Linked DNA regions of Coturnix japonica. The protein of the gene in region 1 purifies or fractionates together with the protein of each later gene. This does not show direct contact. Links are inferred from orthologs where the notes say so. Each region holds a gene or a part of one and is shown in the gene's direction. Other genes may lie near its edges. The genes, in order: RPP40, POP4, RPP25 and RPP30.

Region 1 (8,175 bases):
ACGGGGCATCCAATTCCCATCAGTTTTATTTACCCGGGGTTCCACGTGGCCACCAGCATCCTGCTAACACCCATTTAATGTGCTCAGACCCGTATCTGAGACCTTTTCCAACCTCTCTTCTTTGTGCACACCATCACTATTGTCTGTGGTGATTTCTATGGATGGCTGCCAAAAACACATGGTTCTTAAACTCCGTTCTTTTCCTCTCTCGCGTGTTTTACACCCTTTGTGTTATATTTTGAGTGTGAAGCCTTGCTGCCAAGTAATGACTCCTCCAGCTCCTGGCATTGTACGCAGCATTTGTTCGTAGTTCATTCTGGAGCTTCATAGGAACAGGAATGAAGGACAGACGCTCTCTGGCATCAGCGGTGCCAATGGAAAACATGACTAATAGCCGTTTGCTGTCAGCTGCTCATCACTGGTGCTCTGCTTTCAGCTCAGCTCATAGAGCAGCCCCGTAACCAGCCTGTCCCAGGTTATGCCACCCTTTGGGTCTTTGGACAGCCTCGTTGTGATGGAAGTAAGCCATGGAGTTACTGAGCTGAGGCCTGCAATGCGCTGCCAGAAGGCCACAAACAGAACAACAGACAGCTGTGCTGTTAATGCTGACTTTGACCAAAAGAGGATGCAACATAAGCCCATTGTCAACTGTGCCTGGAAGTGAGACTCACAGCTCACCCATTCCACTTGTGGGGCACCTGGAGTTAACCAAGCTGACATGAAGACTGACCAGGTGAACAGCTGGTTTCAGGGCTGTGTGCTAGAGAGATCCCGCAACATCAGGTGCTGGCTGTGGTGAGGCACCTTTGGAAAGTTGCTAGAGCATGCAGCACTGAGAAACAAGTGAGAGGAGCCAGAAGCCTTGGCTCAGCCCCAGAGCCGTGATATCACTGGCATCAATGAAACCTGGTGGGCAGAGTCCCGTGACTGGTGTGTCGCAATGGACCGTTCTGGGCCTTTCTGCAGGGACAGGCAGGGCAGGTGGAGTGGGAGGTGTCTGTGTGTGATGGAGAGGTTGGGCTGTACAGAGCTGGCAGCTGGTCATGGCACAGTTGGCAGCCTCTAGGTAAGGATTAAAGGACAAGCAAATAAGGGGATATTGTGGAACACTGCTGTGGGCCACTTAGTCAGGACAATGACAACAATAAATTATTCTTGAAGAACTAAAAGATACCTCTAGATCAACCACCATTTTCCTTTGTCCATCTTTAATGATAAAAGGAAAACTGCCAGCAAAACTTTAGCCCTGGCTATGGGGAGAGCAGACTTCAGGCTGCTCAGGGAACTAGTTAGCAAGGTCTCATGCCCCTCAGCCTGCCCACCTCCTTCCAGAGCTCTGTCCCTAGGCTGAGCAGTTCTGGCTGCCCACCCTGGCCCAGTGCTCCCAAGGGCCCTGTAGGCAATGGCCGCCATCGCTACTGGTCTCTCACAGAATCACAGAATGACCCGGGTTGGAAGGGACCTCAAAGATCATGTAGTTCCAACCCCCCTGCCTGGCAGGGCCACCAAACATACACCTTTACTAGATCAGGTTGCCCAGGGCCCCGTCCAACCTGGTCTTGAACACCTCCAAGGACGGGGCATCCACAGCCTCCCTGGGCAGCCTGTTCCAGGGCCTGACCACTCTCCTAGTGAAGAACTTCCCCCTTACATCCAACCTAAATCTTCCCTCTTTCAACTTAAAACCATTTCCCCGTGTCCTGCTATTGTCAGCCCTTTCAAAGAGTTTAACAGAAGTTTAACAGAGTTTAACCTCTCATGTCCTATCAGAGGCCCTCTGAGTACTGCCTGAGCTCCTGGTGGGTCTGCTCCTCTGGGGTTAATGTGCATTCCTTGTATGCTGTGCAAGTCTGGGAAGTAGGCCTGCAGGAAGGACTACTGTTCACAGAAGTTTAGAAAAAGCAGTTCAGACAACCCATCCTGCATGAAAAGAATTGAAAAGAGGCAGCAGCACGCAAGGAGGAGTACCAGATTTTTAGAGTTAGTCATCGGCTCGTATTAGTGAGTGTGATCTGAAATTGGATAAATCTTTATGACATACACTGCAGGGAGGGAGGTGTGTTTGATGTGCAATTTAATACATTCACTGAGCTCCTTGGATCAATAGTCATCGCTGGACACAAAATGAACATGAAAATATTAGTCTGGGGACACCCAGGGTCATGTAACAGGAGGATTCTGTTGATTCAACGCAGACACACAATTTAATCCCAAAGACTGTTCATACACTTTCCATCATTTCTTTTTATGCAATTCTGATGTTAACTTCAAACCTTCAAGACCAGAACTAGGTTTTCCTGTCCGTCCAGGCAGAAAGTTCCCCACTACACAGAATGTATCTTGTTCAAATATACCATCTCTCTTCAACTTCCCAGTCAAGTTTCCACTAAGAAAATCTCCTGTTATTGCTACAGAAAACCTGTAAAAAAACTACTAAGTGATATTGAACAGTTTACAGGGATTGATAGATATGCAGGGATCATCACAGTTTGTACACTACATTAATAACATCTTTTCCCAAATTCTAGCACCGTTAGTTCTGAACTATCTTCTTCCTTCACTTCAAAAGTCATCTTCTTCCTCCCAGCTTCCTTCACTTCAAAACTCATCTTCTTCTTCCCATCTATAACAGTTGAGCTTGCTGTCAGTGATCTGGATGCATCGATGGCGAGCATCCTCAGTAAGTGTGCTGATGTGGATCAAATTCAACCATGTTATATGCCATTGTATTGCACTGGGCTTCAGTGTGAACAGAGCTCCATCTCACGCAGAGTAGTTCTTATATAAAGGGCGTTCTATGTGAACTTGCACCCAGATGGTTTCTGTTTTGTGTTTTTGTGTTTGTCGCAAGGAGAAGGCCCGTACCTCACCCAAAATCAACAGAGACATGAACTCGCTTGGACTCTGCTGGGACGTCAGAGCTGGTATCTGGTCAGAAGGGCAGGGCCGGGCAGTCACAGCTTCCTACGTAAGTAGTGCATCAGCTGTTTCTTTCACCTCTCTTGAAACACTGTATAGACCTGTATAGGCTGCATAGATCCAATGTTAAAAGTTGTTCATTTGCATGTGTCGTTTTCCAAACTGCAGCACAAGGAGTAAATACAACCCTGAGTCTGCATTTCCTCAGTTAGGGTTAGTTATGCATTGAAGTGTGTTAGAAGATGGAATCACAGGCATCTCGTAGGAGATCCTGTAAGAGAGGTACTTTATTTCACAGCCATTTTTATTCTTATGGCTTACAGTGGGATTGTTTTAAGTAGATGCACATACATACCAGCAAGCAGGTGTCTGTAACACAGTACAGAGCTTTGTATTTCATTGACTAATAATGCAGTAGATCATACATATTAATCTGAATTAAGTCCCGCAGTTCCATCACCTCCAGTAGGAAAGGCAGAAAAGAAGCCCCACCTAGTGGTGTGGTTTATTATCTATCTATAATAGATGAGGAACTTGTTATTCTTTAAAACAAAGCAAGTGCCTTGATCACTTTTTAATGTAAGAAAATGACTACAATTTATGAAGCTGCTTTCTTTCAGTGGCAATTCCCAGTATCATAGCCAAAGTTCGTGCTGAACAACAGCCATCTTACATTTAAAACTTGTACTGCAAACTGTTGTGTACATAGTACTTACATGGAGTAAGGAGTATAGGATGGGAGATTAAAGCTTACCAAAAATATTCTCACTGTTCATGTCTACACGAATGGAGGTTGCAGCCGTAATGAAGTTGCTCGAGGCTCCTTGTTCCCTGTACATGTTTGGCATAATTCATGGTAGTTTCCATTTATGAGCCATCTGTACATAGTAGACACTTCAGATTATCATACAGTAAATATTTAAGAATAAATTCAGCTAAATATGCTGCCTTTCCTGGTATCTGGACTACTAATCTGCTGTAGCTTCTGCCTCCATTTCCATATCCAACTAAAACAAAAAAAAGATGAATCCCACATGTCTCTCGTTTCTTTTCACTCCCAAACTGATGAGGCATTTAAAGGCAGCTACTTCAGTGATTCAGTACCTCATTTCTGGTGTCTGTAATGTGAGGATGATAGATTGTAAATGCAACCTAATGGTGCCAAAATTGAATTGTTTATCTTTTTGCTTGGTGAGGCAGAAGGGCTCAAATTAACTTTGGTTTGAAAATGTTTCAAGCAGCCGCTACGCTGTAAGGAGCTCAAAAAGCAATTCCTTTGAAAGAAGATGCTTCTTTTTTGAAAGGGTTGTCCAGGAATAGGAAGTGTTGCCATTCACACCCTGTTCTGTCTCCTACACAAACAACAGACATGTATGAGCACAGTTGAAGTGAAAGGTTTTACTGTTCCAGGTTATTCTGTTTACAACACCAGTTGGTCAGTGTCCATTCACACTGAAAATGTTGCTTCATGCCATCAGCTGATGTTAAGGGAGTAATTCTTAGCTTACACTGCAGTAACAGAGTGCAGAATATAACAGAGAATCTTTCAAGTAGATCACAGAGTGTGTAGTCTCAATTACTAATTGATTTCTGGTAGCTAATGCCTCCCCCTCGTGCCGCTACTTCCTAATTATATGAGCAGTCCTAGCCAAATCTTTTCAAACTTACTTGCAGAGCTAAGGATAACTCAATGAGATCAAGAGTAGCCAGGTTAATCTTAGAGAACCAAAATGTGGAGCCCTTAATTAACTCGTGGAGTGATTTTAGTAATCAGGCTGGAGTCACAGAGAGAAGCAGCTTAATGACCAAAGAGGAAGAATGAACTAACGAACAGAGTAAATCTTGAAGAGCCACTGATTCATTTTCCTTCTGAATATTGAAAGGTTTCAGTGATTAAATCAAATGACTTCTAGGCTTTCTCTTTCAAAGGCCTATTTCAAGAGTAATTTTCTCTCTGAGTTTTCCTTTTTTTATCCATTGTCCCAAAGATTCTACTTATTTTCACTTAATTTTTGTATGCCATTTTCTACTTATTATTCCAACCGAAGAAATAAATGAAATTTCTTACCCCTGCCTCGAGAAGGATACATCTGTTTCCCAAGACAAGTCCCTCTCTGTCTGCTAACAAAAGGTTTATCTTGGCCAAATTCAGAGTATTTTTGTTTAACTGTGGAGCCTTGTCTTCTTTTCAAATTGGAAGACTAACGACTCTATGTAACATTCTGTCATTCCTGCCATATGTTTAGTGGGTGTGATTTCATTATGGTTTATGACTGAACCCATTTAGTCATCATTTCTTGACTCATGTTACAGAACAGGAAGATCCATAAAGTATTGGCACTGAACTGTGCCAAGGTGCAAGCGGCTTTGTTTTTCACATTTAAATGCAGTGGACAATAGCAGTGAGGTGGTGACCTTTCAGTATGTTTTGCAGAGAGCAATAATCCTCCAAGCAAACAGTGCAGTTCAGAAGCTTATTTGAAGTTCTGTATCTTCACACTGATGTGATTTTTGCTGCTTCATTGATTGAATGGACGATGCAGTTTCTTGCCTGGATTTTTTTTGTCTAAAACTGCCAGACTTTTGTTTAAAACTGCCTGTTTCCTCACACATTTGGCCAGAAGCAAGAACAGCGGTATTGGCAGGAACTTCAGCCAGACACAAACCGCTAGCAGGCAGAATATAAAGACTTTGGCTCTACAGAATTTTTCCTCCCGCCGTGGCAAATAACAACTGTTTTGCTGTGAATGGCTTGTGTACTAAAAGATGCAGAAGCTCTCAGATCTCAGATAAAAAGATGACCTGTAGAGGCAAAACTTTTGATTAGTTTTGTTCTCAAACAGTTTATCCAGGAAAAATAATGGATAAATGCTTGGGAGACCTCCAGTCTTAAAAATGATGAAGACCAGAACAGATAATATCATCTAATATTAGATGTGGAGGGTGCTGGCCTGCATGCGGCAGGGGGGGTTGGAGCTTGATGATCCTTGAGGTCCCTTCCAACCCAAGCCATTCTTTAACTCTGTGATTTTATGATCAGTTCCATGTAAAGCCCATTTCTCATAACAGAGCTTCCAGGTGACTGGAGAGAAGTGTTTCAAAGCCTGGTAATAAATGCGCATCATGAATAGGTGTTTACGGGGTTATTTGAACATGGATGTCAATAATTTTGCAAAAGCTTAGACTTCTTAAACATAGGAGGCTAAACTTGAAAGCCTTCATCCTCATTTAAGTCTCAGTGAGGTTTTTGAAAAGTACTTTCCAAATGACAGAGGAATATACATGCTGAATACAGGGCAGCTTGTGAAAAGGTCCTGTTTTACGCTTAGATCCCAGAGCAGAAATAAGGCTTAGGAAGGACTACAGTGTAGTCTGAATGTTAAAAATGTATCAAAAATGGAATGATAAGGACAGCCCACTAACGGAGAATAGTATTTGTAAAAGTGTTTAAGTAAGAAGTATCTGAAGCAATGACATCATATCTTTGAAATGTATAATGCAAGTAGGCTATTGAACTTCATGTCTATAATTGTAAATACAATGAAATATATGTCTCAGAAGAACTCTGGCATCCATAATTCTAATAATGAGTTGACTAAAATGAGAAAAGAGAAGATTTACTCTAAAATAAATGTGAGGAAACAGGGGCATATGTGCGAAAAACAACTGTTCTTAACTGGTGTATCCAGTATTACTATTTTTATCTATTTCTACAGTCAAATTTGAGTGTCACAAGATAGATAAAAAGTGCAACTTCAAATTTAAACTTCACTTCTGATAATACCACTTTGATACCTGAATCCTCCTGAGGGAACAACTCCTGCCTGGGAACATGATGCTTTCTTTTTAATCTTAGGTTATTTTAAGTTATTACACAGTTTTGGTTGCTTAACTTCATAGCTTGAAATAGGCAACCGCGTGATTTTGGAATTGCCTTGAAAAAGGATGGTTGAAGTTACTGCACTAAGCTTTCACGACCAAGCTCTGCTGCTCATCCTTGGTGAAAGCACAGAGCTGCACAAACGTGCAGCAGTGAGAAGTGCAGCATGGGACCTTTGTGATTTGGGAATGCAAGAGAAACAGTTCATCAGGCAAAAATTCCAATGGTCTCACAATCAGAAGGTTTGTTAACAACGTGCATCAACATACAAAGGAGTGCACAATAATAGGTTTAGAAAATATGTTTAAATATGTCTCTGTTTAAAGGGAGACACAAAGTCAGGAAAATCCCCCATCACCATGCAGGGCTCAGCCAAATTCCGGCCCTTAAAAGGCAAACAGAGGTGACTACTTGAAGACCAAAACCACTCCTGCTCCCTGGAGCCCTGTCTGGTGAATGATTTTTCCCTTTTCTTCTCCCACTCTTGCATCACAAGAATGAGTGAGTTTCCCAGATCATAGAGGGTTGATTTTGTTTTTAACTATAAAAGAAACATCCCTTGTGTGGAGTTTGTTTGTTTGTATCTTGGTTTGTTTTGTTTTAACTGCATTTAAACTAAAACATGGAGCTCCGTCCATAGCTAACACTCACCATTCTTTCTTCCTGGCTTGAAAAGCAGCTTTGGGGAGTAGCTTGGCAGAAGCTTTGTTTGTAAGCTCCTAGAAAAACAAGGCTGAGTGGGATCATTTTTACAACCCATCGTTGCTCTGAGCATGTAAAAACAGGATATAAAGCTAACTATCAAGCTCTTCACCATCTTTCCACTTTCCTCAATGAAAAAAGCAGCTGACAAGGGTCAAGCAAAGTGCCATTTTTCAGTCTTATACACATTAGTATGATTTCAGATAAACAAGGCACTAGAGATAATTGTTTCTGTTTTACAAATTACTAATTACGATAGCCAAGGTTAAAAGGTTCAAAGGACAGCTTCCTTCCTTCTCTCTGGTAGTCAACAATATTGAAGAAAGAAAAATAACTTGATTCATTTTAAAGACACAAACCAAATTAAAAATAAAGATGTGACAAATACGTGTTAAGATTTGATTTGATTAAAGTCTCGGTCATTTAGTCATGTAAATCACAGAATACCCGCCTGAAAGAATGAGTTAAGGCTGCCCTTCAGTAATTAAGAGATACATGAAAGAAATACCTGGACTTCACAATTAGAGATACTGTACATCATGGGAATCAGGCCTTCCTTTCCAATCTCAGTTGTTTCATACAGAAATTGAATCAATTTTTCACTAGTTCAAGGAAGTGTCTTAGAGACCCTTCCCTACCCGAGGATATTACAAGAGGTTGCCCGAGGCACTTCT
Region 2 (7,952 bases), on another chromosome or scaffold:
AGTGCAAGCTGACTCATTTTATTAAAAATAATGTCAGTCCTGGCAGCCTAATTGTGTTACTTTGAAAGAGAATGGCAGGAACAGGGCCTTGCCAGCTAGCGATGCCTCGGAGATGGATGCCTCATTACAGAGCAAAGATGAGAAATTTGTCTCTAATGAATCTTTTCAAATTTCCTGGGATTTCAGCCCAGATCCCCACGCTGCAGCCCGGCTGATGGGGCAGGGGCTGCCCTACCCTGGGAACGCTCTCCCAGTGCCACCAGCAGCACAGCGGGCTCCTGTGCCCTACAGAGAGATGCACTGGATGATGTAATGTATCTTTGGCCAAAACTTACCATTGGGAAAGTGCACAATCAACACAACCACACCGTATCACACAGACCTGCAGAGTTCAACAACCATTTCCTAGGAAAAAAAAGGTATGAAATTCCCCCAAAGCCTTCTTCCACAGATAAATTTACTGTGATGTAAAACAGGCTGGTGTACGTGAAAACTGGAGCCATGTATGCTGCAAGAAGCTGCAAACAGCCACATTTTCTCCAAAGACAAAGCAATTTTTGACTCCTAATACTTGATAGAGCTGGGTTCTGCCCCGTGTAGGAGCGGGTCTGGAGCTCTCAGCAGGCAGCCCTGCAGCAGGACGGCTCGCTCTCGGTGCTGGGCTGCCCTCTGGTGAGGAGCAGAGGAGTGCTGAGAAGCAGGCAGGAGTTAAGCTGGCTGAACACTCACTGCTTCAGCACTGCCAGGGGCTGGGAAATGTATTAACAACTTGGTATTTGGGTAAGGGAAATCAGATCGGAGCGTTTAAAGCGGCAATTATTTTCACCAGTATACCTGTCCCAAGGGACCAAATGTGACTGCTAATACAATTTGGCCAAGAGGAACAAACTGCATTGATCTTAAGAACTCCAGTGCTGGCTGAGATGCTCTTTCTGGTGAATTACAGTATCTGTTTCTTGTATCAGCTGCAATCAGGAAAAGCAGTCCGTGATTACAGCCCAGTCACCTCCTATGCACATCACTTCACTTCTGCTCATCTCCAGCTTCAGTTCACAATTACTCTTGAACAACAAACAAACAAAGCAACACCACAATCATCTCTTCTTACATCATACAAACACCTCTGTTTTCTGCAGGTGGATACTCTGCACCTCACTTGTAGCTCTCTGTGCTTCCCATCACTGAAATTCCCCCAGCACATTGCTGTTACCTGCCTTGGCCTGCACTCGTTTCTCCCATCACCCACTGTAACTCAACGCACCGACAGCCGAAGCAACATGGCCCCCTGCTGTACACATGTATGGTGGTTCATTGTTGGGTGTTCACAAATACATAGATACATAGACTAAAAAAGCAATAAATATAGCCATACACAGACTTAATGGGATAAGAAATACCAATGCTAGCACCTGCAAAGGGGAATAAGTAATATATATTAGGGGTTTATATCACCATAAACTTGTATTGTGCTTGCAAGCTGATTTACTTGAAAAAGTAAAAAGCTTCAAAGGCCTGAGACTAAGACACTTCTGACACTAAGTGAGGTGGAGACATCCAGAAACATGCATTAGAATTATCTGCACTTCTGTTTACATATTTCTGCATTGATTTTATTCCAAATTCCCTTTTTACTCATCTTCCCTCATTTCTCTGAGCCTTCTCTTCCTTTCTGATCCATAAAATATTTCCACGTATTCTTTTTCCTCCTGCTCTTTTTCATGTTTATTTGATTGAGTCCCACTCCCAGCTCAGAGCCCTTTCCCTGGAACACACACTAACAAGCTGACCCAGCTCTATCAGACACTGTCTCTGAAGATAGATTGGGAAATGAAGATGTAGAGCTGTTGGAAGAGACTGGCTTCCCCAGGCACCTGTTTAGCCTGGATCATTGGATTTACTACACTGGCATCACCAACACCGATTTGACTATTAATCCCTTAAGTGCCTTAGGAACTGCAGCATAAATCCAGCCAAGGAGCACTCATACGGCCCTGAAGACCCATAGCGTTCATCCTGGCACTCCATTCATGAAAACTGATCTTTTCTTAAATAGCAATGACAACTCAAGGAGTCCCTGCTTTGTAAAAACAAGGCACCTGTTTGCTGTGGCAACATCCTACACTGCCAAGAGACCTTTCATACACGCTGTATGGGAACTGTTGAGTCCCAGCCTGAATCACTGGGCACCTGAGAAAGGACCTGCTCAGCCCTGAGAGCACAAGTGGAGGCAATTCTCTTTGTGAGTGGAAGGGTGGAGCCTGGCTGCACCTCTTACACCTCATTTAAGGGCTGACTGCCACCAGGGAAGGTTCTCTGGTTGGAGATCCCTCCTTGGTGAAGCCTGTGACCTTAATCTTCAGAGATGGGTGAGCAGACCTTTATCCTTCCTTTTTAACACCATTCTGTTGTATTAGTCCCTTTATTATTACAGCTCTTGTATCACCTTTCCATCACATTGATCTTTCTGGTTGTTACACAAACCAACCAGTGCTTGTGCTTATTAATCTGAAGGGACTGGCCTTTTTTTCTCTACAAATACACATTTATCTGCAGTTTTGTCCCTTGTTACACACTGCTTTAGTACCTCTGTGCTCCACAGCAGCACTCAACACAATGCTCACATTTCCTATGCTCTGTCATGGCAGCTCTGTCAGCCTCCTTCCCCAGGGGGCACTTAGTTACACGTGTGGCTGATACCCACCCCGTGATAGGAATACAAACACCTCTATTTTAATGTGAGCTTGGACTTGCTAAGCTGAGGAACTTGTGGTACTGTTTCCAGAGCACCTCTGTGCCAAGAGGTGTGGGAGTGCAGCAGGGCTGGAAGGGGCGAACCCCTCGGAAGAGCAGGAGATGCTGCGTGCACATGGATGTGTATCCTCGTACTAAACTGCCATGCTCAGGCCCAAAGTTCCTACTGCTGCAGGGGGCTGAGCTCGGGTTCCGTAGCCCCCACCCCGGCACACAGAGCGTTGGGAAGCGCTTGATAGAGCGGCACTGTCCTGCAGCTCCACCTGCCGCACTGGAGGGGAAGGGGGGGATGCAGCCAGGCCCGCCCCGGTCGCACACACGTCACGGCTGCGCCGGAGCATCGAGATGGAGGGTGAGTACAGGGATGGGACGGGACGGGAGGAGGATGAGGATGAGGAGGTAGATGAAGGGCCGGCTGAGCCCGCTGTCTGCCCGCAGGTGTGTTGTACAGCGGGCTGCCCCGCGAGGCGGCGAAGGAGCTATGCCTACAGGTACCGCTCCCATGTACCCCCACAGCCTCTGCCCAGCGCTGCCTCAGCTCGGCGGGCAGCCGGGCTCTAATTTAATTAAAGTCTGTTTTTAAACACCTTTAGCCCCAAGGGTCAGAGGAGGCCAGAGCGTTTGTGAGCGCCTTCCTGAAGCGCAGCATGCCCAAGAAGAAGGACGAAGCCATCCAGGATGTGCTAACGCGGAAGGCCGTGGTTCTGGAGCACCACTGCAGGAGGAGGAAGAAGCCAAAGAGAAGGAAAACAAAAACCTTCACAGCCAAACAGAGGAGGGAGCTGGGGCTGTTTGATATCGAGCCTGAGCAGCAGAGGTATGAGAGTGAGTTTGTGTGCTCTGTGGCACTAAACCACAGCACAGCTATAACCTGGGCTGCCTGTTGGATGAGCTCATCCCTGACCAGTTCTTTCCTAAGTGCTGCCACCTGTGACTTCAATTCTAATCCCCAGAATGGCTGCAACCAGTGAATCTCCATTTTGCATTATGTTCCTTGACCCAGGACATGCTGAGTAAGGCCAGTGCTGCTCCTAAAAGGAAGCAAGGGGGAGAAAGAGGAGCAGAAAGCTCTTAAACACATCCCTCCCCTTGGGTTTGTTCGGAGCATATTCAGCTTTACTTGGAGTGGTTTACTAAGTGATCTGTGCAGCTGATAACATGTGTAATTCTTAGTTTTAACTCTGCTTACTAAGACAATCTACAATATAATATATTATAATATATATAATTAAGTTATTGTAAAATATTTGCCTTCTAACTGCAGATATGAACTATTTCTACCACTACATGAACTCTGGAAGCAATACATCAGAGACCTGTGTTATGGACTTAAACCAGATGCGTAAGTTTAGCTAATCTAACCACCACCATTTTTTAAGGCATTTCAAGTAGTAATTTGATTAAACTTAAATGTCAATTATTTAATAAGGATATATGCTATTTCTGTAAGCTTTGACCAGTATTTCAATAGGCACAGTCACACCTTATAAACATGCTTTTCCATGTATTTTTTTCCCCTCTCTGATCCTACCCTTTTCTTCAAGGCAACCACAGATGGTGCAGAGCAAACTGCTGAAAGCTGACCTCCATGGAGCTGTTGTTACAGGTATTGTTTGCTTTATTCTGCAGTTATCTGAGATTTGCTGTACTTTCTTATGTTTCAGGTGCTCATTGAATTCCTTTCAGTATCAACTCTAGGATAATGTAATTGTGTTGATGGATTCTTTCTCCATTTACCAGTGCTGCTTAACTTTTCAACTGCTCTACCAGTTATCACTATAATTACTTCAGACTATTATCTCAGACTTCTAAAATGATGAGGCAATAATGGAACAGCAAACCAGCTGCACCTGAATTTATTCTAACACATTCCTATTCTTGTTCTTTCAGTCACAAAATCAAAGTGTCCATCTTATGTTGGGATAACGGGAATAATCCTACAGGAATTCAAACATGTCTTCAAGATTATTACTAAAGACAACAAACTAAAAGGTATGGCAAATGTTTTTCAGTGCTTGTTATAATGTGAGTTACTGAGAATCGATCATATTATTATACTTCTGAGTAAATGTATGAGCACATACATACATTGTTCTTTACCACTGCTTGTAATTCTTTGCATAGTGGCAGAAGTTCATGTCTTTATCTGACATGTAAAAACCCAATAATGTACCTTAGAAGTAATTTAAAAACATATTTCCAGTGATTTATAACATGATTATGCACATGGTTCATTCATCTGATTCACTGTAGATCGTTCTCTGCAACTCTTACTGCACACTTGTGAACAAGGACTGAATTCTGTCAGTTTTGCCCTTAAATGTACAGGCTGTATTGAGTGTATTTCTCACACTGCAGCATTAAACCTTGACATGTTATGAACCTGAAGCCTGCATGTGAATAGTATTCCCTGGTACACCAGTATCTATGCATAATGCTACTTCTCCATTTTTCAGTTGTTCCCAAAATTAACAACGTATTCAGTGTGGAGACTGATGGATTCATTTCCTACATCTATGGAAGCAAGTTCCAGCTTCGAGCAAGTGAGCGGTCTGCAAAGAAGTTCAAGCTGAAAGGAACTATTGACCTATGATTTCATAGCAAATCAAAAGGAAGTTTAATTAAGATGTCTGCTGTTCTCCTTCAGTTTACAAAACAGGTTTTCTGGCAGACTGAAAGACAGAGTTAACTAGCTGAGATTTTTCTGAAGTGTTTCTTCATACTGAAGAATGACTGGTTTCATCTTTAAAGCAGTCTGTCAAACTGCTGAAGTCTTAGTTGTATCTTTTACTTGTGTGTAATGTTCTGCCTTTTATTAAACTTGTGATTAGTACTGATTACCTGGTTTTTGTTTCTATTTTGACTGTATATTTGTTCAGTGAATGTTTTATCTTATAACTTGCTTACAGAGCCTGCTTCGTTCAGAAGGCAGCAATAACACCTGTCACTGTGTAAGGAGACTGCAGCTGGTAACTGCTTTTATGTGATTGCTCCTGGATCAATCATTGCTGCCTGTTCAGCTTGTATCCATGCTAGACTGAAAAACCTTATAATGAAAGCATTGGGCAAAAATGTCTTTCATGTTTACTGAGTCAGCAACAGAGGTGATTTATGCTGCAAAAGGTATCATGTCCTGGCAGGTCAATGAGAACTCCTATGAGTATCAAGAATGCTTTCTGGATTGTTTTCCGCTAAACCAGGGAATGTTTTAGTATCTGACTTCCAAGGACTGATAAATACCAAGGTCAGTAACTTTCTTATCTTAGTCTGGAACTATTTATGCTTTTTTTTCCCTAGAACTACCTACCCAAATGGAAAAATACATTGTTTGGGGTAATGGTTAAAATGCAAATGCACAAGAAGTGGAGGTGAAACCTCTAACTGAGCACATGCATTTAAACAAGCAAGACATGTCTTAAACCACAGGTGCTTCAATCAGGACAGTGCCTCACAGGTGAGAAATCATGATTCTTTCTGGGCTTGTAGCTACTTGCAATCACTAGACAAGGACTTGGATTCTGTTCACGAGTACTTTAAAGTTAACAGGCACTTAGTCGAGCTCTGAAGTAGTTACATCAAGGTATCTCCCTTTAAGCATAATTCCTCCCAAAGTTCTTTGAAATCCATTAGATTTCTCTGAGAATCCACAAGGAAATATCAACAAATTGGCAGAAAGCTTAAGTGACAGTAGAAACTTTCTCTGCAGGACAAAGGCTTCATTTTCATTTTGCTTATAGCTATCAGTGTAACATCTAATTAAGACATCTGTTAAATGCCTATAATATTAAATTAATAGAGGGAAGCTAATGGAACTTTATTGGCGTAGTCCTGTTAATTAAAGACCTTTAATAGATGTCTTAACTAGGCATCATTAATGGCAATGACACACAAATTGGAATTAGGCACGATCCCATTTCATTGTGCTGCAGAGGACATACTATATTCTGCCATACAGACACACAGATGAGCACAACAGCATTTTCCATAGCTATTGCTATTTACACTTTTCTACATTTTACTTCAGTGGCAGGAAGATGTGCTGCTTAGCAGCCCCTTTCAGTAAATAACAGTAAGGAAATAATTATTTACAGTGAATAGTGCTGGAGAGGTGTTCAGAGGTCTCTGAGGTACTTAGATGCTAGCAGCACAGATGACAAATGAAGCCTAACAAGAGATTGAACAGCCAAAGCATTCAAACTACCTTTACTGCTGTTGCTAAATCACCTGAAGAGGCATTTTTACCTCATCGAGGTGTTCCAAACATCCAAATGTAGGTTTTTTTTAATAAGAAGTTCCAGTTCCTTACTGTTCCTAATGCAGCATCTCCCACCCCACAGGAGGGCTAATCCCTGGCTCCTGCTATTTGTAATGCTCCCTCACCACACAGTAAGATTTCCATAATTAATTTCTCATTAAATCTGCAGTGATCTTACCTTGGGATGCGAGTATAAGGCTTCAGCGACACATCAGCTCTTCTTTTTAGCACCATCATCCCTGCAACCTTCTCTAGATGAAACCCCAGCAGAGAATGAGGTGCCCAGTGCCCACCAGCACTATGTAACCAGCCTTCTGCACAGCACAGCTGAGGCCAGCATGCAACAATTGCTCTCCTAGGCAACTGGTTCTCTACTGTGACAAACACCTGAGTGTTCCCCTTACCCAGCTGCACTGATTGCCTCTTGGCTCTGAAGGTCAGCACAGGGAGCCTTGGTGAGCAATAGTTGACCTAAGTTAACGGATGTTCAACTTCATGTGTTTTCTTAAACAGAAAGAAAAACTGGATTTACAAATCATTTCATCCCTCAGTGGTGACCAAACTATGGCCTTACGGACCTTGCCAAGAAACAGAATTCCAGATTGTATGGCAACAATGAGCAGTTCCATGGAATTTTACAGAGTTTTGATCCATCTTTCCCCTCTGTTAATTCTGTCATTTCTATTCCGAGCTACATTTCCCTGTGTTTGATGAATATGTATTGCTTTGGTAAGACAGAAACCTCCCTCAGAGTGCTGCTTTAAATTAACAAATGTGAATGCATGGGAGCAGGCACCCCCTGCAGCTGAGCTACACCTGGGCTGCAGAGCCAGCAGCACCCCGTGCTCTGTCTACAGGCCATTCTGACACCTGGGCTGCACAGACAGCCATTTGTTTCCAACCAAGCCACTCACTGTTTATTGTGTTAGGACCTATTCCACTAACT
Region 3 (7,708 bases), on another chromosome or scaffold:
ACGCAGAAGCATGCAAAGAACAGGCAAAACTCCAGGAGGGATCCAGTCCGTGTCACCAACTTGGCCGTGGGGCATTTGGGAACCAACAAAGGGGCTGTGAGGAGCTTAGGTCTGCAAGAAAAGCCCCTTGGATGTCAAGACACTCAGAGTGCCTTCGCTGGTGGCAAATCCTCCACCAAAGCTGTTCTAGTGCCTGATTTAGTGGTTGGCAACCCTGCTCATGGCAAAGGGGTTGGAACTGGATGATCTTTAAGGTCTCTTCCAAACCAAATTCTATTGATTCTTCCATTCTATGAAATCTGGGAGTTGCTGCAGCCCTACCCCATCCCCAGTGGGTTTGGGCACGAAGGTCTGGAAGGGGACAAGGCACACCACCCCTGTTTGGCTCGTGTTGAGCACACAGCCAACCCCGACTCACGCATCCAGAGGTAGTAGAGCCGCTTGGCCATGGTGCGGTGCTGCGGCGGGATCTCAGCGTCAAAGTCCTGGTAGAAACATGGCTTCAGGGGGATGAACTTGGGGAGCGGTGGGAAGTTATTCACCTTTTCTACAACAAGAAATCCCATTAATGAGGGGCGATGAGTGCAAAACAACCCAACCCCCCCCCCCACCTAGATTAGCCGTACCTGCCATGCTGGCACAGTCAGAACTCCTTGCTCTGTAGAGATGAGGGAAAGCAGCCGAGAGCTGCGTCAGAGCTGGAGGGAAGGCAGAGGACACAGATGGAGGCACTGAGGGGAGTGGGGCTGCTCCCCAGCTGCCCCCATTCCCCAAACTCTCCCCTCCCCCCTTCGGGCTCAGCACAGGGCCCGACTTAGCGCGGACACCTGGCTCAATCCCGGCTCCCTCCCCGCTTAGCACCCTGCCGATTAGCACAGCCTCCAGCCGCGTGGTTCGGCCCACGCACAGCAGCGGGGCTCCCTCAGCTCCATCCCCGCAAGGAAATGGCCTCACCGAGAGGCGAAAACCCACGGAAAGCGAAGGGACACCCACGCGGCGCGTTCCCCACTGGGCTCCAGCGGCCTCCCCGTGCCCTCCCGGTGCCCTCCCCGTGCTGCACGACACCCCCCCCCCCGCCCATCAGCCCCTTGGCCGTCACGAGCGGGTCCCCACGCACAGCACCGCTCCCACGCGTCGCGTCGCGGGTGGCGGCGGCCGCCCGGCGCCGCTCTTGCCGCAGCGGCCGCGCTCTCGCGAGACTACGCCGTCACCCGCCCGCCCCGCCAACGGGGCAGCACTCCGGATCTCGCGAGATAAGTTGGAACTGTCCAGGGTCCTGCCGCCGCCGAGCGTGGAGTGAATAGGGACGGGGGCCTATAGGGGGCCGAAGGCAGAGCTCGGGCTGAGAGCTGTAGGTCGTGGGAGACCCCCTATGGGGTACGGGGGCAGCAGGGCAGGAGAGACTCCAAATGAAGGAGTTTGGCATATTCCATATGGTTGGGTGACCTTCTGTAGGGGATGGAGAAATAGTTCATAGCTCTATTTGGGTCAGGGGAAGCTCTGGATGGAGCAGGGTAAGCTCCATATGGATTGAGGCAGACCCTCTATGGGGCAAGAGTTTGTCAGGCTCCACATGGGGCGTATGGATTCGAGACACTACACAGGGCAAGGGAGATCCTCCATGGGCAAGAGTTCAACAGCCACCATATGGGGGAGAACCTCCATAGGGTTTAAGTTGTGTATGCATTAGGATCAACCCTATGCAGGTCATGGATATGGTGAAATCCATATGTAACAAGGAGACCCTCTATGTAGTGTGATATGTATGGAGGGCAATAGCATCAGGGCGGCACCAGAATTAACATATCGCCAAGACTTGGTTGCTGCACCAACACTGAGAAGGGCATATTCTCCTCCTAGTCAGAGTATAACTAGCACAGTAAGGGGGACAGCCCAGCCATGACCCAGAGATTCATACCTGAGCTGAGGATAGTGGTCAAGCCCAACCAAGACCCCAGATCAACTGGCACATCTCTAGTAGATCCACACTCTCAAGGTCAAGCCATGAAGTAAGCCCAGCAGCCAGGACCAGCAATAGCTAAGCAGCTCTCCAGTCAACCCGTAGATTGAGGTCCATATGAGTAGCACCAGAAACAAGCTTAGCTATCCCTAAATGGGAGACCAGCTCACAATAGATCCCAAATTAGAGCTGAAAGCTGTAAATATGAGCTTACACAGGGCTTTGGGACCATACAAAGGTTGTGGGGCTGGGGTCCCTCAATTATTCCTCTTGCTCGTTGTGTTATGGCTTTACAAAGGGGTTTCAGTGGGGAGCCAGATGCATAGTGTCTCGCTTAGGGATGTCACTGTTATAGGTGCTGTCCCACGTGCAATGTGACGAGCACCTGAGACCTGAGCCACCCCGATGTGACGCAGAGATGGACGGAGACTTTCCTCATATCGCATGCTTCAACTTTCCGAACTGCTCCCACATTCAGCAGATGAAAGAAAATATAGCGAGGGCAGGTGGAGGGCAGGGGCTCACGTTACTGCTGCTCCAGCTTTCACCATCTCTCTCTCCTGTTTTAACCGATTCCCTGTACTTTTCATGTAGTGCTTTTATCCCCTCAGCCCTCCTTTTGTCCCTTTCCCATCCTGCTGCTCCTCAGCTTGGAATAACTGCTGTTGTCCTCCAGCAAACACACAGTGACAGGGTAATGAATGGCTTCAGATGGTAATTAGCGATGGAGCTGCTAATAACACGATTCATTTCCATTTTAAGTGCCGCAGAACGCTGCGATAAAATGGACCACGGGTGGCAGGATTTGATCCCACAGCGCAGTTTTCCTCCCTGCTGTGTGAATGGTTGTTGAAATCCTTCCTTGTTATTTTCCTAGGGGCTTTAGCATCTTTCAGAAGCAGTGTTTTGCCACAGAGGCTTTAATCTGTTTCAGCCACGCCATTGGCTCTGCCTCAGTTTCTCCTCTTGGGGTTGTCCCAACAGTGGTACCCACTCTTGCTGCATTGGGGCAGCGGGGATGGGGCTGGCCGATCCATTCATTTATTTATGGATTTTGCAAGCCCTATTCGGGGTGAAAATAATCCCAGGTCCTCCAGAGGCCGATAAGATTTGGCAGCAAGGCAATACTCGGCATCTCTTTCCACTGTGCAATGATCCGGAGGCTGGGGCGGGGGGAGCAGGGGACAACTGCTGCTGTTTGCGGGCGGCTTGGTGTCCTTGAGAGAAGGGACGAGGTTCTCTTTAAGGGGGCAGGACTTGGGGAGCATCACAAAGCCAGGAGAGAGCTTCTCCCTCTGCCCACCCAGGGATGGAAGCAGCAGCAGGGTGCTGGGATGGGAGGCTGAGCGAGGGGAGGAGGAGGAGGAGAAGGAGGGGAGGGAGGGGAGGGAGAGGGGGAGGATCTGCTAATTACACAGAACAGCTCTGGGGGCTGCTGAAGTCCAGAATGAAGCAAAGAGCGGCAGAAGCAAGCGCTGCAGAGGGAACAGAGGAGCCTGAGCACTGCCGAGAGCTGCAGCCAGCAGCGAACGGGGGCACCCAGGGGATCCTACAGCTCTGGCCTCCCCTGGGGACAGCCAGCACCAGGACGAGGAGAGGGGAAGGGGCTGGGGGTCCTGGGGACGTGACGTTGGAGCTGGAGGAAGGCAGCGGGGGCTAAGTGTGGGGTGAGGGATGGCGGCCAAGCCCATTGCCCAGTGTAGGATGGAGAACTTCCGAAAGGTCAGGACGTCAGAGGAGGACAGCCCCTTGCCCTTCCCTGACTTACCCCCAGGTGTGGTGGAGATGAAAGTGAAGGAGGGCAGCAAGATCAGGAACCTGATGAGCTTCGCCATGGCTCAGATGGAGCTGAAGGGCAGCAGGCAGATTGTCTTCAGCGGCTGCGGCAGAGCGGTCACCAAGACCATCACCTGCGTGGAGATCATGAAGAGAAAGCTGGGGGGTCTGCACCAGGTCACCAAGGTACGCTACAAAACCTTGCTGGAGGTCTGGGAGAACCAGGACCCGCTGCCTGGCACTGCAGCACAGAATCTGACCGTCCATAAGAACGTCCCTTCCATCTGCATCCTGCTCTCCCGTGACCCCCTGGACCCCAACCAGACGGGCTACCAACCCCCTGAGCCCAGAGAGGCAGGAGAAGACCCCACGAGCTCCTCGGCCAAGGGGCTGAAGCGGCCCCCACCGCCTGCCCGTGAGGAACTGCTGCCCAAGAAGCTGCAGGTAGCGGGAGCCAGCAGCCCGCAGGGCTCGGGGACAACAGACAGCCAGATGGACGGCCACTACTGACCCTATGACATGCTCACAGCAGGGTCTGGGGGGGCTACTGACCCCACGCAGAACACATCCTTGTATCCCACTGGCTCCCCATTTTATGAAGGGCGGCTGCAGTGTGTAGGTCTGTGGGAAAACCTCCCCTCTCCAAACTTTTCCTCCCTTTTGCCTGGTGCTGCGAGCACTTGTAGGGATGCGGAGCTACTCGTGCCTCCTGTCAGCCCTGCTAAATAGCCCCCTGCACAGCAGACCTCCAGGACTCCCATAGAGCTGAAGCATCCTTTGGATTCTCCCCAGATTGGGAAATGCAGCTGCATGCCTCCGCTCTGCATCGGGATGTCTCAGCCAGCTGCAAAGAGCCCATCAGAGTAACACCTTCATTGCAATTAACCCCCGAGAGGAGCTGTCAGGTTTATTAATGCTGGGCTCCGTGCCTCGTGGCTCCTGTGATTCATCCTGAATAGCACAAACAAGCAGATGGGTCCTGCTCCCTCTCACCCAGCTCCCTGCTTTGTCTCTGCTCCTTCCTCTCCTCTGTGGCATCGTTGCTATTTTGTGCTTTGCTCTGAAATACCCCAAGCTGATCCTTCCTCTCTCAGAACTGCTGCAGCCTGAGAGCCAAAGAAACAAGCCCTGGAGCACTGCTGTTCATTTCAATAGCAGCCCCTCCAGTGAACAGGAATGGAAATAACCCCTCTTCCCACATCATATATTCAAGTTTTTCCTCTCCCGGAGGTGTTTGCAGCCATGGTGAAAGCATGATGACGAAGACAACAGGGAGCATCAGGTGGATCATCTACAAGCTGATGGACAGATGCTGGGATGAAGAGGAACTTTGTAGGTTTGGCTGCGGATTATTCGCTATGGGCTGGCTCCCCAGAATAGCCCTTTGGAGTGAAACACCCGCTTTTTCTATGGGTAAAAGGAAACCAATGGAAAATAAAAGCTCTTTAGAAATAATTGAAGTATGTCTATGGGGAAATGGGGGGGGTGAGGGTGGGGGTCGTCTTTGCCACTGACCATGGCACAGATGGGTACAGTGAGGGCGAGACTGTGGCTGCTGCTGAGGCAGAACAAGGGGATCCTGGCCAAATCCTGCCTCTTGGGGATGAGGAATCAGGGCCAGCTTCTTTGCATGCCCTGGCAGTCATCTGGCCCCAGCTGACATGGCAAAGCCCCCCATGGAGCTCCATCTGCCCCACGTCAGCCCCTTGCCATCACGTGGGGACCAAAGCAATGCAGAGATGGGTTGTGGGAGGCCAACTGAACCCAAATCCACCTGGGTCCCCTGCCCAAGCAGGACAGATTCAGTTGGCTCCAGACAACGCAGCCTTGGGATGGAGTCAGCGGACATCACTGCTTTGCCAAAGGCTGGCTTGGAAAGTGCTTTGTTTGGCTGGGAGAGGGAATGGAAGGAGACCAGGGGAGCGAGAAAGAAGAGGAAGGGGGAGTAAAGGGGGGTGGGTTGTTTGGCAATGACCTTGTTATCTGTCTCAGCAGGCAGCTGCTCCTCTGGGCCGGAGGCTTGTGCTTATCTGCCCTGCCACAGATTGATTCATTTCACTTATCTACCACCATGTAATTGAACATTAATTTCCATTTGTTTTCTTATTTTTGTGGGGCTTTCATTCCCAGAAAGGAGGGGTTGGCATAAGAATTGGAGGGGACCGAACAGACCCCAGAATCAAATCCATGCACAGCTCAGCGGCGCTGGCCAGGTGCTGTGCATGCGATGCAGTCTGAGGCCAACAAGCCATTGCAGAACAGGCTGTAGCGTGCCCTCAGCCCCACAAGTAGATCAGCAGAAGCCCTCAGAGCAGCATCTTGCACCAGTTTCCATCTTGAACGAGGTTAATGAAGAACTGTGCATAACGAGATGGGGAAATCCGGGTTATGACACTCTACCTCAGTGATCGCAGATAGGGATTTCTGATCTCCTAACCAGCAGGACCCCAAAGCCTCAGCCTTGGTAAAAGCCAGGGGTTTTTGGTCTCCTAACCAGCACCAGCAGGACTTTGGGGGCAGAACTCAATAAGCAACTCAATCTAAGCATGAAGACTTTAGAGAACTAACAGTCCTTCAGCCAGCTCACGTTGCCCCCAGCAAGGAGAAAGGCAAGGAGAAAAAGAGAGAGGGAAAAAAAAGCCACTTATTTCACCATATTATTTTGTTAATGTCCAAAAATGACTGTTAATTGATTCAGTACACAGGCAATTTGGAGGCAACAGGAGGCTGGGGATTACAAATGCTTCGCATTGCTGGCTGCGTACCAAGGATTTCCTGCATGAAGAAATAGTTAAAACAGAATAAAAACGGACTGCAACTCCGAATATGAAGCATTTATAAATAGCAGGATGGCATCTGGCTCCACAGGGTCCTAAGGGGGTATTGTGAGTGAAAACAGAGCGGCTGATTGTCTGCTGTGGAGGCACAGCCCAAAGCGCCTACGAATTGTAATCTGGGGGTCATTTTGTGAGCTATAGGGATAGTGGCACAGCCTCACAGTGGCCTCAGCTGTGGGCAGCACACTGGTGTGTGTTTAGGGATGGGGATGCAATGGGTCTCACCAACACAAGCATCCACCTCGGGCTCACTGATGCTCTGAAGACAGCCTGGCAGCAGGGATTCCCTTTGGGAAAGCCAGGCTGCATTCAGCCGTGGAAAGCCTTTAATGCCAAGCAGCTGCAGGCCCTGATAGCCACCAAAGCATGGAGGGCCCTGAGGGCTCTGCCTCCCTCTGAGAAGCCAAGCTGCTGCTGTGCTAACCCAGCTGCTGGGCTGCTAACAGCGAGCAGTCTATTGCCAGGAAGGGCTCCATCCCCTCACAGCATGGCTGCCTATGGGCAGCTGATCCCTGGGGGATCTCGATTTAAAGCCTCTGGGGGCTCTAAAACACAACATGGGCATTCATATATCCATAATAGGATGGATGAACAACCGGCTGAAGGGCTGAGTTCAAAAGGTGGTAGGAAATGGGGTTACAGCAGACTGGGGGGGCAGCCTCGGAGGTGTTCAGGACCAGGTTGGACGGGGCCCTGGGCAACCAGATCTAGTAAAGGCGTATGTTTGGTGGCCCTGCCAGGCAGGGGGTTGGAACTACATGATCCTTGAGGTCCCTTCCAACCCAGGTCATTCTGTGATTCAGTGTGAGGTTCCCTGTGGCTCCATTTTGAGGCCAGTTCTGTGTTACTACAAACAATTTACAACCAAATTAGGACTCCAAGCTCTGGCTGCCAGCAAGCAGCATGTACCAGATGTATAGACATACCTTGTGCTGCAGCAGGCCCAGCCGTGCCAGGTGAATGAGGACAGGTACCATCCCACTGCCGGGCCCACCACCAGCATTGGGTACAACATGGATGCCACAGCATCAGACATCATAACAACCAGCACTCAGAGGAAGGCGATGATGGTGTGTACAGACAGGAAGATGTGAGGGGAGGCCTCATAGCTGGAACACCACACACCACCAACCCT
Region 4 (7,455 bases), on another chromosome or scaffold:
CTTTGTGCCTGACTGCTCTTGCGTGTATCCCTGTCCCTTTCAGCTACTATCTCCAAAGGCAGTAGTACTTAACACAGTGTGCACAACTCTGCATTTCTTCTTTTCTCTTTAAGTCCCCTCAAAGTCCTCTATAAGAGATATGAGTGCACTTGTTTAATAGCATCACTAAGATTTATACTTCTTGGCCATAACCCTCTAAAAGGTGAGTTGCTTATTCATCTCAGAGCTCTCTGAGCTTAGCTTTATAGCTACAAAGGAGGACTTGTCCATGTGGCCCTTTCTCTGTAGAGTTTGGGGAGGTAGCCTGGGCTTATTTGTTTCCTCAGACTGGTGGAGTTCTGTTCATCTGAGTGCACCAGACAGCCACAGTTAATTGTGTTGTCAGCCTGAACTTAACTAATGCTCATGAAGTCGTTGCTGCTTGTAAGTTTTCCATTTCTTGATGCTGACAGATGAATGTTTATTCTTTTGTTCTCTTGTGTTTTGCAGAACATCGTTATATCTAGTGCAGCTGAAAGAGTAAGTCCTGGGCTTTTGTTCAAGTGAAAACAATTTGAGCATTTATTGCAGCTCTAAATACTTAAAATTACAATTTTTATGTGTTAATAGATAACTAAAGTTCTAAGATTGCCACCTTGTATGCTTTTGATCAATTGTTTTACTGAAGAATTGTGTGGGGTTTTTTTTAACCTGTTTGTTTTGCTTTGTTTTTGTTGCTATGGTATTTTCTGTGACAGCTTTCTTACAGAGAGGGACTCTGTTTTGCAAAATAGTGGTATTTTCCTGATTGTAGTAGCACATCTTCAGCGGCTTGCTATTAGGTAGCATCTAATTTTGCTTTCCTGAATGGCTGCTTCTGCAAATAGCTTTGTACTATGTGCTCACATTCTACCAGCCTCCAACCTTCTTTGTTTTGTTCTAGCCTCTAGAATTACGAGGTCCTTATGATGTGGCTAATCTGTATCCTTTTTCCAAGTCAGTGATGGCAATTAATAGTAACATGTGAAAGTTGATTGGTTTTGAGATTTTTCCATTCCTTGCTCTCCTTGAACTTTACCCAGTGATGCTTGTTGGTGACTAATTCAATGACTCAGAGTTCTGCGTGGGTGTGGAAGGAGCAACACAGATCTTGGTCATGGAGTGACATGAACTGTTGCTGTAAATAGTGATGTCTGAGAATGGTTAAAGATGAGTTCTGTGTTGTGATATGTGTTGATATTTGTGTTGAGTGTAAGTGGGAAAAGGAGTAAAAAACCCATAATCATAGATCTTTGAATAAAAAAAAAACCTTTGAAGTCAGCGAGCACTGCTGACCAAACCAAAAATTACTTCTGATCTCAAAGACACTCAATCTTTGATAGAATAAGCCATAAAAATCATGTTTTTATTTAGGAAAAATGAGGCTGCTGTCTTAGCACTAGTTACTTTGGCTCTTAATTTTTCAGTCCTTAGTTCCATATGTACTATTAAATGACTATTAAGTGAAGGATTGTGTTCTTGACAGAAAGCATCATTCCTCCCTTTCTTACAGGAATTCAGATGTGTTTTTCCTCCTCCCTGCCTGTAGGTGTGTGTCCAGACTGCCCCTGGAAGGGGAGGCATTTGCTCTGAGTTGTGAGAACTGTGTGGGAGGGTGTTCAGGCTGGAAGGATTTTACGTGTGACATTTTCTTCCCTCTTAAAAAGAGCAGTGAAGCTTAACTCAAATTAACATACCTAATTTGGTGTCATCCCTATTCAAGGTGGCTGGGAATTTTTCAACATAATGCTGTTGTATCAGACAGTGCCCTTTCCCACAAAGCTGAATTTTTCAAGGGGGTAGCTTTTTATTTGATATTATGTTCGAAATAAAATTTCTTATGTTGACAGACTTTTGTTTTCAAATGACAGCTGCTTGTCTGGAAAAAAGCAGCATTGACAGGAGCCTTCCAGGAGGGCTTCTGGGGAACTGCAGCCGGGAGAATTAGTTGCCTCAGGTCTCTGCCTCTGGGTAACCTTATGCAAAATGTCACTCTAAGTTATGGCGTTGCTAATTCCCAGTTATTTGTAGAGTAAGCAAATCTGTCATACAGTCTTCCTTGCTCCTTTTATTCCTTCCTGTGCATTTTGATCCTGAATAAAGGTGACAGAGGTTTGCTGTTTGGCCTGTCAGAAGGCGAAGCCAAGGCAGCTGTATCCACCAACTGCAGAGCCACCATACTTCATGGAGGTAAGTGAAAAGCATGTGCAAACTTAAGCAATTCTTGCATTTGTTAAGGTAAGTTCATGTTAGTTCATGTTTTCCAAAAGGTCTGAGACCATAGAGAATAAGTCAGCTTGGACTTTTTTCTGCCTAGTTCAGTGAATGAAAAGGAACTTCTGCAACAAGAGATGATTGCTGTGCTAGCAAATCACTGGCTGAATTGGTGGTACTGTCTGTACTGGAGTACTTGCTTTACCACATTAAAAAGACTCAAAAATTGTTTAGCTACAACACAGATCAGCCTGTTCTCCTGCGTTTTGGAGATACCTTTTTTTTTTCAGAAGGAGTATAATGCTCGTATCTGTGACAGCAGCAGAAACTGTGTTACTGAATTCAAAACAGGTTCACCCAGATTTTTTTTTTTTTTTTGCCCTTACTTTCTTGCAGCATGACTACAGAAGCAGCCATTGCTGTGTTTCTCTGATACTTCATTATTTGATCTACTTCTGACTAGCTCACTTTTTGGTGAGGACCATTTCAAACTTGATGCAAACTGTGAAGTCCCATGTGTCTGATGCTTAGGAGGAGGTGTTTCATATGGTGTACCATGACTTTAAGTTCTGGTGAAACAAAGCTTGCTTTCTTATCCTCAGCAGAGGAAGTTTGCATTAGCTTTCTTCTGCTTTACCTGTCCATTTTAATATTGAAGAAAGTAGAAATGTAGCATTTTGCCTCCTGCAGAAATTAGAAGGTTGAATTATGTGTCCAGATGGCAGTTTGTTCTCTAGCCATCATATATACTCTTGCTTTGCTCTGTGGCCCTTTCATTCACCTTCTCTAACCTCCCTTTCACTTGTTTATTTGCTGGTTCTTGGTGTTCCTAGATTTTTGATGTGTATTCCAATGGCAATTTAATTTTGTCACCAAGTTGTGTGTCTAGCTGTTAATTTCTGCTTCTTCCAGGATTTGTTGGATAGGTAGGTTCTAGTCTTAACAACTTCAGCTGCTCTAAGCTGCAGACACATGGTAGAATTTGGTTAGCATTTGTTGTTTCAGTAGAATTGCAGTTTGAATATACTGTAATTCATAGTGAGTAGCTATGATCTCTTCAAGAATGCATTTCTATGATCAGGGTCATCCATCCTGCTATGCTACTCATCTACATTGTGACAGTGTTGGAAGAATTTCTGTTAAGCTTATGTGGAATTTCTCAAGACCTTCATTTTTCTTATCTGTGAGGTTAAAAATTAATAAATGTAATTTTCCTGTGCCCCAAAGAATAGTAGACCAGAATAAGTCCATATATTTTGGCAAAGCTCTTATGAAACCACTTTGCTAGCAAGAGTATTTGTTAGTAGCCTTGTCTGCCTTAAATCTTCAGTGTTTGCAGAGAAGCATTGTAGTAGCGGTTCTGAAATTGGACTGGTTCTACTGGGTGTTTGGCAAATGTTTGAGGAGTAGCATGAAATGGTAATGCTGTGAGTTCTGTAAATAAAAGATGGTTGAATGCTATGAAGCCACTTACTTGGTATGTGTATGTGAACCTCTGCCAGTGTAGCTGTGCCAATGTAGTCTTTTTAAGAACCCTGAAGTATGTGAATGTTTATTTATTTTATTTGAGAACATTGTTTTGCTCAGAAATACTGAAATGCTTTTTGACATGTGTTCAAGAATGTGTCTTTCTGTCAGTATGGAACTAATGAAGCCTGCTTGCCTGTGGTTTCAAGTATGTCCCCCCCAACCCCCCTCCCCCAAAGTCCCAGCAGACCTCAGTTTTCCCTCATTCTTGCTCTAATTCTGCACCCACCCTCATATTTCCCACTTTAGTTTCCCAAGTGTGTCCTACGTCCTGACTGTGCAGGTGGCTTACCTGCTGCGTGAACTGCATGGCTGGCTGTGAAACATGCTGAATTGCAGCAAGCATGCATTAAGTGCATTAGTATCAGTTTATTTGAGGTAATTCAGCTTTTGTTTGTATGTTCCAGAAACTCGGAAGAGTGCCTGTGGGGTAGTTTACACAGTGAAGAAGCTTCACAAGGTTGAGGAGGAAGAAACAGTGCCAGCCTGCAAAAAGGCTAAGACTCAAGCTTGAGCCAGTTGTCAACAGGAGCCTCCATCCAGTCTTTACCCAGGGGCTGAGTCTTCCTGCACCCTCCAGTTGGCTTGGTTCTTCAGTTACTGATTTTTTTTAGCTTGAAGAAGAATTATTCTTTTGGTTTCCAAGTGAGGAATTATGTTGGAATGGGACTGCTGAATGGTATTTTACCACATCTGGAAGGTCATCCTATTGCTGGGCTTCTGGACAAGGGCAGGAGGGCATCACTCCACCTTGTCCTACCTCTTCTGGAATCATTGTGAACTTGCTCAATAGAAAGTATCCCTAAGGCAGAAACATCATGTCAAGTGTACTTTTTTATATGAAAAATGTTTTCAAGATGGCATGCCTGTTAAGTCTCCCTCTTATAGTACCTGAAGTTTTAAAACATGTCTCTGTACTAAACCTTAGAACCATAAGTCAGTAAAGTGTACCTTAAATGGCCTGAAAGAATAATTGTGCAGTAAAAACTTTATCTGCTTTCTATTCTGTTTTGTGATCAATAACAATCCCAGCATGTGGTTTGCTCACTAGGAGAAATCTTGAGTTTGTGTCACAGGAACACTGACTAAATCAACCTGTTAGACACACAGTGCAAAGGTTATCTCCGTCCTTGAAATCAAACTTAAAGCCAAACAGTAACATGAGACGTTTGCCATGGATAGGAAGAAAGAGCCCAAGGTTATCCTCAGGGTGTGCTCAGCATGGTGTGCAGTTGCAGCATAACAGCTGCCTCACCTGGACCTGAGCAGTCTCCATGTCACACAACTTTTACTGTGTCATGTTGGATTTTTTTAATGTCCAGATTGTTTTGCTACCTCCTGACTTTCTAGTTTTTCTTCCTGTTAGTGCTTCAGTAAATCTAATCCAAAAAAGCAATTATAACAGATTTCTTCTCAGTGAAGCGTTTTCAGACGTCATCCAAATGTTGACTCAAGTTTCTCTTTTGACCAATATAAAAATTACATAAAATGTTGTACTTAAGATGCTTTTGTGCCAGCTTTATTCTGAATATTAAAAGCCTTGGAGCATGACCAGAGAAGATCAACAGAGCTGTGAAAGGTCTGGAACACAGGTAATATGGGCTGAGGGAGCTGGGGTTGTTCAGTCTGGAGAAGAGGAGACTCAGCGAAGACTTTATCATTCCCTACATGTCCCTGAAAGGAGGTTACAGTGAGGTGGTGGTCAGCATCTTCTCCCAGGCAGCAGTGGTAGAACAAGAGGTAATGGCCTCAAGTTGCAGCTGGGGAGGTTCAGATTGGATATTAGGAAAACTTTCTTCTCAGAAGCAGTGGTGATGTACTGGCACAGGCTGCCCAGGAGATGATGGATTCACTGTCCCTGGAGGTGTTCAAGAAAGGTGTAGATGTGGCGTGGTTAGTGGGCTTGCTGTTGAGGGGTAGATGGTTGGACCAGATGATCTTAGTGGTCTTTTCCAACCTTAATGATTCTGTGATTCTCTATTCTTATCTGACAACAAGCTGAGGGGCACAAGTTGTGACATGTAAAGTACTGCAGAAACCTTGCAGTGAGTTATCTCTGAGCTCTTAGTAGCTAACGAAGCTCTCAGTAGGCTCATGGTTTTATGAAATGCTGGTGTAAGTCACAACAGCTTTTGCATCATTCTACTAGCAATAAAGTAGTTTTTCCTTTGTTTTTATTTTGCTTGTCAATGTCATGATAAGAGTCTATTTTATTACTGGTGTTGAGATACAACATCAATATTATTGATGTTATATATAGTGGCTTCTCATTTATGGACTTGCCTCCAAATTAAGGTTCTAACCAAATAAAGAAGCACTGGAAATGTGCCTGCTCAATGTAACTTTTATGAGTTATGTACTATACCATGCCTTGGTGTGAGCGTGAGAAGAGTTTTGTAACTAGCGTGCAGAAGGAAGCTTTTGAATGCAAGTTATTCTACTTTCACTTGTTTGACCTCAACTAGGGAAATGTAACATCTGCATCTTTGCTCTTTAAGTAGATACAGCGTTTCAGGAACTTTGTGGGAAGTTTCTTTTTCTCCCAATTTCCAGGAGCACTGAACTGCTGCTCAGTTAAGATAGTCAAGATGAGTTAGACAGCACTGATGTAATTTCTGTTTTCTGGAAGATATGTTCCCAATGTCCAGATGATTGTGCAGAAACAAGTACAGAAATAGTAGCTTGCAGAGGGAGACAGCAAGCAGAGACATACCATAGTTCTTATGGGGGAAAAAAAAGTGTGTTTTCAGGTGACACAAATTACGGTGCTTGCTGTGTGAAAAGTCTCATCTGTCTAAATCTGTTGCTTCAGTGCAGGGTAGCTGGTTGCAGACAAAATAGGCATTTGTTCTGCCTGCTTCTCTGTGGGGTTTTCGTAAATTCATTTTCAAAATTGGCATTCTAGTAATAAATACTCATCACTGTCCGTTCCTGACCTTGTTTTGTTGCCCAGGACTTTGTTTTGGCCACACTGTGAAGTCTGTTGGCTAGAAGCCAGCTGTACTGGCTGGTGAATCTTTGTGGGAGCCTGTGGCATATTTCACTGTGAGGCTGCTCTGTGGAACGTTCAGATTTTAACTGAACATGGCGTGTGATGTCCCAGTGAAACTGCACATCAATGTCTCTGCTTGCTTAAGATTGTTCTGCCTCTACTTGAAGCTGTGTGTTCCACGCTGCAAGCACCAACCGCTGAGAAACAGGGATTTATAATCAAACTCAGTGATAAAACTGTAGCTTTGTATATTATTAGACACTTAAATACCAGCTTTCTGCTTCCGTATGTGTGTTTGTATGTAATGGAAAGGCAGTATTTATCCAGCAGTGGCAGGAAGGTAGCTCAAGAGCTGGCTCCTTTGGGCAGCTGAGACTTTTTTCTTTGACTATTTATGAATTTTAGAGGCTAAGGTATGAACTTTAAGAGAACTGTCTGGTGCATGCTTACTGCTCCATAATACACTCTAGCAAGTACAAAGAACCACTCCGTTTATTTAATCTGAGATAAGTCAGTACAAAATGTACAGAAAAAGCAGTACAAATTTACAAATATACATCATCTGTTTTTACATTCTTCAATCATCAGGCTTTGTAGTAGTCTAGCTTTAAGAAATCCACATTCTCAATACTGTCTCCTCTCACCTTCATCACGTTGCATCTGAATCCTGCAGTTCATATGGCTATATGATGGAGCTCTGTCCA

The links.
Region 2: the proteins of RPP40 (region 1) and POP4 purify together in Homo sapiens (affinity purification with mass spectrometry; 3 studies listed by BioGRID and IntAct, counting the BioPlex papers as one, with this or other methods). This does not show direct contact. The link is inferred for Coturnix japonica from reciprocal best matches to the Homo sapiens genes RPP40 and POP4.
Region 3: the proteins of RPP40 (region 1) and RPP25 purify together in Homo sapiens (affinity purification with mass spectrometry; 3 studies listed by BioGRID and IntAct, counting the BioPlex papers as one, with this or other methods). This does not show direct contact. The link is inferred for Coturnix japonica from reciprocal best matches to the Homo sapiens genes RPP40 and RPP25.
Region 4: the proteins of RPP40 (region 1) and RPP30 purify together in Homo sapiens (affinity purification with mass spectrometry; 3 studies listed by BioGRID and IntAct, counting the BioPlex papers as one, with this or other methods). This does not show direct contact. The link is inferred for Coturnix japonica from reciprocal best matches to the Homo sapiens genes RPP40 and RPP30.

The regions. Positions count from the first base shown.
Region 1 is NC_029517.1:63,866,750-63,874,924, reverse strand, and holds the start of RPP40 (ribonuclease P protein subunit p40), read left to right. Parts: upstream 1-2,800; 5' UTR 2,801-2,815; coding exon 2,816-2,968; exon of another isoform or gene 2,969-3,029; intron 3,030-3,673; exon of another isoform or gene 3,674-3,797; intron 3,798-8,175. UniProt on the Homo sapiens protein: Component of ribonuclease P, a ribonucleoprotein complex that generates mature tRNA molecules by cleaving their 5'-ends. Also a component of the MRP ribonuclease complex, which cleaves pre-rRNA sequences.
Region 2 is NC_029526.1:7,093,080-7,101,031, forward strand, and holds POP4 (ribonuclease P protein subunit p29), read left to right. Parts: upstream 1-2,978; 5' UTR 2,979-3,096; coding exon 3,097-3,103; intron 3,104-3,189; coding exon 3,190-3,242; intron 3,243-3,323; exon of another isoform or gene 3,324-3,344; coding exon 3,345-3,568; intron 3,569-4,015; coding exon 4,016-4,093; intron 4,094-4,295; coding exon 4,296-4,357; intron 4,358-4,641; coding exon 4,642-4,743; intron 4,744-5,207; coding exon 5,208-5,344; 3' UTR 5,345-5,589; downstream 5,590-7,952. UniProt on the Homo sapiens protein: Component of ribonuclease P, a ribonucleoprotein complex that generates mature tRNA molecules by cleaving their 5'-ends.
Region 3 is NC_029525.1:1,713,932-1,721,639, forward strand, and holds RPP25 (ribonuclease P protein subunit p25), read left to right. Parts: upstream 1-3,359; 5' UTR 3,360-3,634; coding exon 3,635-4,246; 3' UTR 4,247-5,191; downstream 5,192-7,708. Other genes in the region: SCAMP5 (secretory carrier-associated membrane protein 5), read right to left, coding at 419-449. UniProt on the Homo sapiens protein: Component of ribonuclease P, a ribonucleoprotein complex that generates mature tRNA molecules by cleaving their 5'-ends. Also a component of the MRP ribonuclease complex, which cleaves pre-rRNA sequences.
Region 4 is NC_029521.1:17,060,784-17,068,238, forward strand, and holds the end of RPP30 (ribonuclease P protein subunit p30), read left to right. Parts: intron 1-489; coding exon 490-519; intron 520-922; coding exon 923-960; intron 961-2,128; coding exon 2,129-2,208; intron 2,209-4,166; coding exon 4,167-4,273; 3' UTR 4,274-5,936; downstream 5,937-7,455. UniProt on the Homo sapiens protein: Component of ribonuclease P, a ribonucleoprotein complex that generates mature tRNA molecules by cleaving their 5'-ends. Also a component of the MRP ribonuclease complex, which cleaves pre-rRNA sequences.